Sus scrofa: one gene and its partner. Each later gene encodes a partner of the first gene's protein in a complex. Links are inferred from orthologs where the notes say so. Each region holds a gene or a part of one and is shown on either strand. Other genes may lie near its edges.

Region 1 (3,818 bases):
AGAACTTCCATATGCTATGGTTGTGCCCCCAGCCCACCAAAAAATCAAAACAGTGTTAAGAAGCACTCCCATCTCTTCACTCATTTGTCCTATTTCTCCCTCTCTCCCATAAGTAAATACTGGTTTCTTCCTTCCTTTGTTTTTTCCTTTCTTTCTTCTTTTCTCTTTTCTTGTTTTTTCAGGGCCGCACTCACAGCATATGGAGGTTCCCGGGTTAGGGGTCAAATTGGAGCTACAGCCACCGGGCTACACCACAGCCACAGCAACGCCAGATCCGAACCGCATCTGCAACCTACACCACAGCTCAAGGCAACGGCAGATCTGTAACCCACTGATCGAGGCCAGGGATCGAACCTGCAGCCTCATCGTTCCTAGTTGGATTTGTTTCCACTGCGCCACAATTGGAACTCTGATACTGGCTTCTTATGTCTTCCAGGTGACTTTGTCTTTGGATACAACATTATAGTTGTATTCCCCCCCTTTTTTAGTTTTCACCTTGCTTTATTTATCATGGAGATCTTTCCATAGATCATAGAGAGCTTTATTTTTTTGAGTTTTCATTTAAAAATTTCAAGAGACTATATAAAGAGTTCCCTATGGCTCAGTGGGTTAAGGATCCAGTATTGTGACTGCTGTGGCATGGGTTTGTTCCCTGGCACAGGAACTTCTGCATGCCGTGGGTGCATTTTGCTACACTTGCTTCATCTGTTTTTGCTTTCTTTCTTTCTTTCTTTTCTAAAATATAATCAAGTAAATAAACATTATGCATTTCATCTTTAAATACTTGGTTTGCATCTCTGAAAAGGCAAGAATATGTCTCACATGTTCACATTCCTAATGTAATGAACAGTACTTTTTAAACATCAACCGATACAGTTTATACAAATTTATTTAATTGTCCCCAAATGTCTTTAAATATGGTTTATTTAGACAGGGACCTTTCATTGTACTTCATTGTTAATGTATCCTAAATCTCCTAGAGTGTCTCTTTTTCTCTCTTTAAAATGACTGGTGGCTCAGTGGGTTAAAGATCTGACCTTGTCACTGCTGTGGCTTGTGTTGCTGCTGTGGCATGGGCTCAATCCCTCACGTGGGAACTTCTGCATGCCATGGGCTTGGCCGAAAAATAAAAAATTAAATCAATTAAAGAAATAAGCATAGAAGAGTATTTTTAAGATTTGATGCATATTACTAGAAAGGTATAGAAAGGTGGTTTCCATATACAGCCTTAGCCAGAGTATATGAGGGTGCCATTTTCACCTTACCTACAGTCTCAGTTCCCTAGTTTAAAATAATTATAAAGTAAACCCAGTTTTCACATCTCAACTCTTATCAAATTATCACCTGTGTTACCTCTTACAAAGGACAGTTTAACCTCTCTGTGCCTCAAATTTCTTTCCTTTAAAATTGGGGTAAGAATATCTAAAATGTTTAGAAGAATGCCTCAAATACAGTAAATACTTATAAGTGTCTTTTATTATTTACATGTTTAGGTAAAAAATTCATGTAGTACAGAAGTGTACTGGGTCCGTTATAGTCCTAGCCCTTCTAAAACTTCATTTCTGTCTCATTTTAGTTAGAAGAGCCTGAAGAACCTAAAGTGCTAACTCCAGAAGAACAACTAGCAGATAAACTACGGCTAAAGAAACTACAGGAAGAGTCAGACCTCGAATTAGCAAAAGAAACTTTTGGTAAGTGGAGGTGTGATAGGAGTGCAGTATTGTAATTCCAGGTGAATACTGCGGCAGTCTTACTAGTTATGAAAATTCGGGGTGGTTTTTTTGTTTGTTTGCTTTTTGCTTTTTTAGGACACCTATAGCTTATGGAGGTTCCCAGGCTAGGGGTAATCAGTGCTGCAGTTTCCGGTCTATACCACACCCATAGGAGCATGAGATCCAACCCATATCTGTGACCTACACCATAGCTCACGGCAACACTGGATCCTTAACCCACAGATCAAGGCCAGGGATCGAACCTGCATCCTCATTGATACTAGCCGGGTTCATTACCGTTGAGCCACAATGAAAACTCCAGAAGATATCTTATTTGAAGAAACACGATACTAGCTTATTTAGATATTAGAAAGCAGTTTTTAATCTCGTTTATATTTTGAGATTTCATTATTTAAAGTAGAATGAGATACATGTTCAGAATTTTGAATAATTATATTGAGTATCATATAAAAGATTATTAAGATAAAAAGTCGTTAAAGAAATTCCCTTGTGGCACAGCGGGTTAAGGATCTGGCATTGTCACTGTAGTGGCTCAGGTTTGATCGCTGGCCTGGGAGCTTCCACATACTGCGGGTATGGCCAAAAGTCTTTAAACCCAAATAAAGTGTACTGCTGCTTTAAATGTATTTATCAGCTTTATGAAATTTATCAGCTTTTGTGAAGAGTTTTGTAGCTGTGAGACTTACACACTGAACTGACTGTAGATAATGTTCAGGATTCTGTAAATACAGAAGTTCAGAGTGTTCCAGGGGGTGATTTACGTGGTATAGAAGGTAAAGTAAGAAACATGGCCAGAGAAATAGTTAAAAGCTCTCGCTTCATTTAACAGTTGTTGTCTCTACTGATAAGAGTATTTTTCAGAATAGACTATCATGTTGAAATAGTTGAATAACTTTGAGTTGAAACCTGGAGCCAAGAATGATCTAGTTATCTTGATTCCCCCTCCCCCTTCTTTAAGATGGATCAAGCAGGCTGACTCTAGTGATCATTCTCCTTTCTATTGGAAATGTGACTTTATCTCTCAGTGGATCTCTAACAATATCAAGAGTTGCCATGGATGCTCTTGTGCACTGGCATGTGCTTGGCATGTTTTTTAGTACACTGCTACAGAGGGCACTTGGCTATTATCCTGTCTTCATAGAATGGCAAAAGCCACCCATGTGTTTATTAAAGAGAAGGGCTTATGTGGTAGCTGTAAATTCTAAGATGGGACACCAATTATAGATTAAAAGGGAAAAACATGTATTCACACAGTGATCATTTTGTTAATAGGAATTTAGTGTTGTGTTTCTCACACTAAAATACTGAATTAATGGTACGTTAACAACTAATTTACTTGACTATTGAGGCATATACAGAAGCATAATGTCTCATAGCCTAGAATCCTTTTAGGTCAGATTCATTTTTCTATTGGGATTTAACACATGGTTTACTCCTGCTTAGCTTCTGATACTAGTGAGCTGGATACTTTCACTGGAACTATCTTTCCTTGCTCTGCTTTTTTCTTTTTCTTGCCACTTTTCTGTGGTATTCTTAGACAAAAACCCTTATGTGCCAGGGACTCCTTCGGCAGTCCGGTGAAGCCTGTGGGCCCCTTAATATAATGTTTTTTACTTTTTTTTTGGCTGCACCTGTGGCATGCAGAAGTTCCAAGGCTAGGAATTCAACTCTTGCCACAGCAGCAACCTGAGCCACAGCAGTGACAACCCTGGGTCCTTAATTCACTAGGTCACCAGGGAACTCCAATATAGTGTTTTAAATGTGTAAAACACTCAGGGTTTTATTACTTAGAAAGGAAATTTGTTGTATTGAAATAGGTATCAAAATATTGAAATAACTTGTGATGCAATAATTATGTACAAACCACTTGAATCCTGTCCAAGCAATTCAGTGGACTCAGCTTAAGAACCTCTGCTTTTAAGAGTTCCTATCATAGCACAGTGGAAACGAATCCTACTAGGAACCATGAAGTTGCAGGTTTGATCCCTGGCCTCGCTCAGTGGATTAAGGATCCAGCGTTGCCATGAGCTGTGGTGTAGGTTGCAGACGCGGCTCGGATCCCGTGTTGCTGTGGCTCTGGCATAG
Region 2 (4,244 bases), on another chromosome or scaffold:
GCTGCCCAAGATGCTCATCACCCCGTTTCCTTGGTGAAGCCGTTTCCTGACTCTCTAACACTGAGTATACAAGGGCAGGCCCCTCAGTACCAGAAGCGACCACTCAGGGCTCACGCTGTTTCGCACTGAGAAGTTGTAGGGCACAGTTTAGTGAAATCGGGCTCTGGCGACAGACAGTCTGTGCAGCTCGGCACTCAGCACGTGCACTTAGGCTTTGTCACTTAGCCTTTCTGTGCTGCTTCCTCACCTGAAAGATGAGGAAAACAATAGAACCTACTTCATGGGGTTACTGCGAAGGGCACACACTGATCATACATCTAGTTGCTATTTTAATTATAATCGACAGTGGTGTTATTATTTTAGGCCTTGTAAGTTCTGGGGATAAACTCTACAAAATAACATGTCCCTAGCCCCAAAGAATCAAAGAAACCCCTTGGGCGCGCTCTTTACAGAGAGAATGACAAAACATTACCCCTCTTCGGGGACCGCTTTATCCAGCCAGTCCCACCCAGTAGGAGGTCATTTCGGCAGGTGGCCCATACCTGTTCTCATAGATGTCCTGGATCTCATACACCTTTTGGTCAATGACATCGCTGGACACGCGACTGGCCTGTAGTTCATACACCTTCTGGTCAATCAAGTCCGACACAGTTTTGTGGAAATACTGGATGAAGTTTTTGATCACCTCGGGAATCACCTGATAGGTCTGCTGCTCATACTGACGTTCATAAGCCAGATCCTGCTTCGGATCGCCTAGAGGTGGGATATGACATCTCAAATCCACATGTGTAACAAAAGGGCAAGGCCTCCCACCCCCTAAACTAAAGTCTATACAATTGGGTATTATTCCTTTTGTGGGGAGGGGGGGAGGCATGCAGAAGTTCCCACAGCAATCCAGTGACCAGAGCCACAGCAGTGGCATCAGATCCTTAACCCGCTGAGCCACAAGGGAACTCCCATTCCCTTTTAAACACCCAGAAATATAAATTCTCTTTATGTCACTCTCAATCGCCACTGGCCTGTTTCTTTCATTTTGTTTTGTTTTGTCTTTTTGCCGTTTCTTGGGCCGCTCCCATGGCATATGGAGGTTCCCAGGCTAGGGGTCGAATTGGAGCTATAGCCGCCAGTCTACCCAGAGCCACAGCAATGCGGGATCCGAGCTGCGTCTGCGACCTACACCACAGCTCATGGCAAAGCCGGATCGTTAACCCACTGAGCAAGGGCAGGGATCAAACCCGCAACCTCATGGTTCCTAGTCGGATTCGCTAACCACTGCGCCACAACGGGAACTCCCTGGCCTGTTTCTTCAGAACCTTTCCTGCTACCTAAAGTTACTTATTTACTTATTGTTTCCCCCACTAGAACCTCAACCCTATAGGAGCAAGAACCTTGTCTGTCTTGTACCCAGGTGTATGAGACAGGTGCCTCTAGACGAGAAAGAGTTCTCCGTGCGTGTGGGAGGTAGGGGGAAAACTGTGAAAAGAAGGAATTTAGTAGTAGGCACTTGATTTTTTTGAGCGAATGACTGCTGTTTTCTACATATATGACTTGATGCAAGTAACTAAATTTCTCTGTGCTGTTTTTTCACCTAGAAAATGGAAACATTAATTTATGTATTTATAGAACTGCTGTAAGGACTAAATGAAATACTTCACACAAAGTATCCAGGACAACACACGGCACGTACAAAGGGCTAAGTCAAACCAAGTCATCGTAACAACCCAGGAAACCTCAAAAACCTTCCAAAAAGGTTTCATCTGGACTTGGTTTGAATCACTTTTAACTTTTCACAAGATGTCTTCTTCTGGAATTTCCCTGCGGTGCAGTGGATTAAGGATCTGATGTTGTCACTGCAGTAGCTCAGGTCGATGCTGTGGTGAGGGTTCAGTTTCTGGCCCAGTAATCCCCACGTGCCACAGGGGCAGCCCCCCCCCCAAAAGGCTTTTTTCTTCAGCTAATAGTTTAAACAGCTGAGACAGTAATCCTTCCCTTCTGAGACTTTGAGATGGACCATGAAAAAGGCCTGGTTTAATAGGCTATATACCACCCTCCCTTTGAGAGTTAGTAACTTGACTCCAAACCTGGACTATCAAGACGTAGTCTTAAACAGGTGCCCGGCAAAGCTGTTCTGAGACATTCAAAAGGGTGCCAATCCCTAGAAGTACCCAGCTAGCCAGACAAACTGTAGACTCACCTGTGTGCATATCATAGTCGCCCGGGTAAGCATAGGGATCATAAGCAGTCTGTTAACGAAAGAGACAAACAAGACCGTCACCAATTCGTGAATCCAAAATGCTCCTCCTGGGTTCTAAGGATACAAAGGGGGTAAGACGCAGTCCCTGCCTTGGAGGAACTCACATCCCTATGAGAAAAGGGAGAATAAACAGACAACGACAATACCGCGTTGCAGCTGCAATGAGATACAGCAAAGCACAGAAGCTGTGGGAATCGACGAGGTTTGGCAGGACTAAGGCCAGGGCCTAAGAAATCAGAGTTCAATTACAGAAACACAGAACCCTATGACCAGCCTCCGTTCTTGGGCTTCGGAAAGAAAAGGAAAAGAAAACGAGACACGCGAGGTGGGCGGGCTGAGACCAGGCTGATGAGGAGCCGGGAGGGTAGGGTGGCAGCAGTGAGAGCAGTGCTGGCAGAGAGGCCGGCTGGGGCTGGTCGCGGCCCACGGGGGCTCCTAGAGACCCAGACACTGTCCCCCCGCGGGGCCCAACACCCAAAGAGCCCTGTCCATGTTGCGGCGCCCAGAACACGCCTAGGGGCAGCTTACCTCCGACTCATAATCATCAGCGGGATAAGACATGGCTGCGGCGCTCCGAGGCCCAGGAGGAAAGAGCGGAAAAAGCGCACCTCGCCTGCGTCTGGACGCCGGAAGTCCAGCCCATCTCGAGTTGGCTGGGAAACCAGAAGCTCTTCCGGGGCCTTCGGCAACCTGAGGCAGCCATGCTGGGAAGGGCGAATGAGATTAAACACATTATTCCTCTATCTTCAAATAGAGACTCTACAAAGAAGATGACTCAATAGTACTTGAAAACATTCAGAAATAAGGACATGAAATATTTCAGCGTAATAAAGGTTGGGCAAAGTAAGAGAAGCTACAAAATGATGCCACACAAAAGATGGCTGACAGCTCCCGCGGGCGGACCTCTCGCGTGAAGGGAAATTCCGACATGGGGTGGGGGGGGGCTGAATGTGGATTTAGGTGTTAAGCGAGTTGCCTGTAGCGAAAAATGTCTTCAAACGTTTCGACCTCAACAATATAAAGTTACTGGATGTAAAAGTTGAGACTTGGGCGTTGAGAGGGCGTTGAGAAAAGGCGCTTCCCAACTTTGGACATTAAGGTTGCAACAGGCAAAGGTGAAGCCAGCTGCGGTGTGAGGCCGTTGTCGTGGGACCTACCCACGCTTACAGCATGAACTCTCACGCTGTGGGTGGAGTTGGACTCCTGGGGATGACCTAGAGTTAGGGACCGGGTTGTAAAACAAAGCGATACAAGCCAATATGTGGGTCCAGAGCCTTAGGTTAGCCATTTAGAATGGCAATGCCTGGCCCCAGCTTCTCATGTCGCATTTTTGCTTTGAGTTTACTCCTTTGTCTGTAAACCGAGCGGTGATACCATCGTAGGACTAAGCTAAAAGGCTCATGGAGTCCCCGGGACTCTTCGTTGGCTCAAGGAGAGTGCTAATATAGTTACAGGGTTTTTGTGAAATTTGCAAAAGTAATATTTCTACTGCAATTCCTTAGAACCGTTTTCTATTTCAATTTCTCCTGTCACACTTAACCCCTGTGTCTAGTGGCGTTTGGGATTTCAGAGACATTCCTACTGGGAACATTTGAGTTTAGTAAGATATGCTTATGTGATACTCTTCTGGGAATAGTTACTGCCTTCAGTGTATAAGATACAGCTACCACGGGCTGTGGATCAATGGGTGTCTTCAATGAAATATGTATTTAAGGTTAATCAGGGCACTAGAAAGGTTGAAATTAACTGAAAACTTACAGTTAATATAGGAAAAAAGTTTGATACTGGTTGCCCTCAACTTTGACAACTCTCAAAATGTTCATGGCATTACTAAAAAAAGAATTGTGAAGTCAGGAGGAATTTTTCCAAATTATCAATAATAAAATTTTGTGGGAATATAAATTGGTGCAACCACTGTGGAAAACAGTATGAAGATTCCTCAGAAAGCTAAATATAGAATTACCATTTGATCCAGCAATCCACTCCTGGG

What was found.
Region 2: EIF3J (region 1) and EIF3L share a complex: the UniProt entries of both Homo sapiens proteins name them as parts of the eukaryotic translation initiation factor 3 (eIF-3) complex. The link is inferred for Sus scrofa from reciprocal best matches to the Homo sapiens genes EIF3J and EIF3L.

Annotation. Positions count from the first base shown.
Region 1 is NC_010443.5:127,002,019-127,005,836, reverse strand, and holds part of EIF3J (eukaryotic translation initiation factor 3 subunit J), read left to right. Parts: intron 1-1,576; coding exon 1,577-1,691; intron 1,692-3,818. UniProt on the Homo sapiens protein: Component of the eukaryotic translation initiation factor 3 (eIF-3) complex, which is required for several steps in the initiation of protein synthesis.
Region 2 is NC_010447.5:9,993,179-9,997,422, forward strand, and holds the start of EIF3L (eukaryotic translation initiation factor 3 subunit L), read right to left. Parts: upstream 2,909-4,244; 5' UTR 2,816-2,908; coding exon 2,783-2,815; intron 2,244-2,782; coding exon 2,195-2,243; intron 754-2,194; coding exon 543-753; intron 1-542. UniProt on the Homo sapiens protein: Component of the eukaryotic translation initiation factor 3 (eIF-3) complex, which is required for several steps in the initiation of protein synthesis.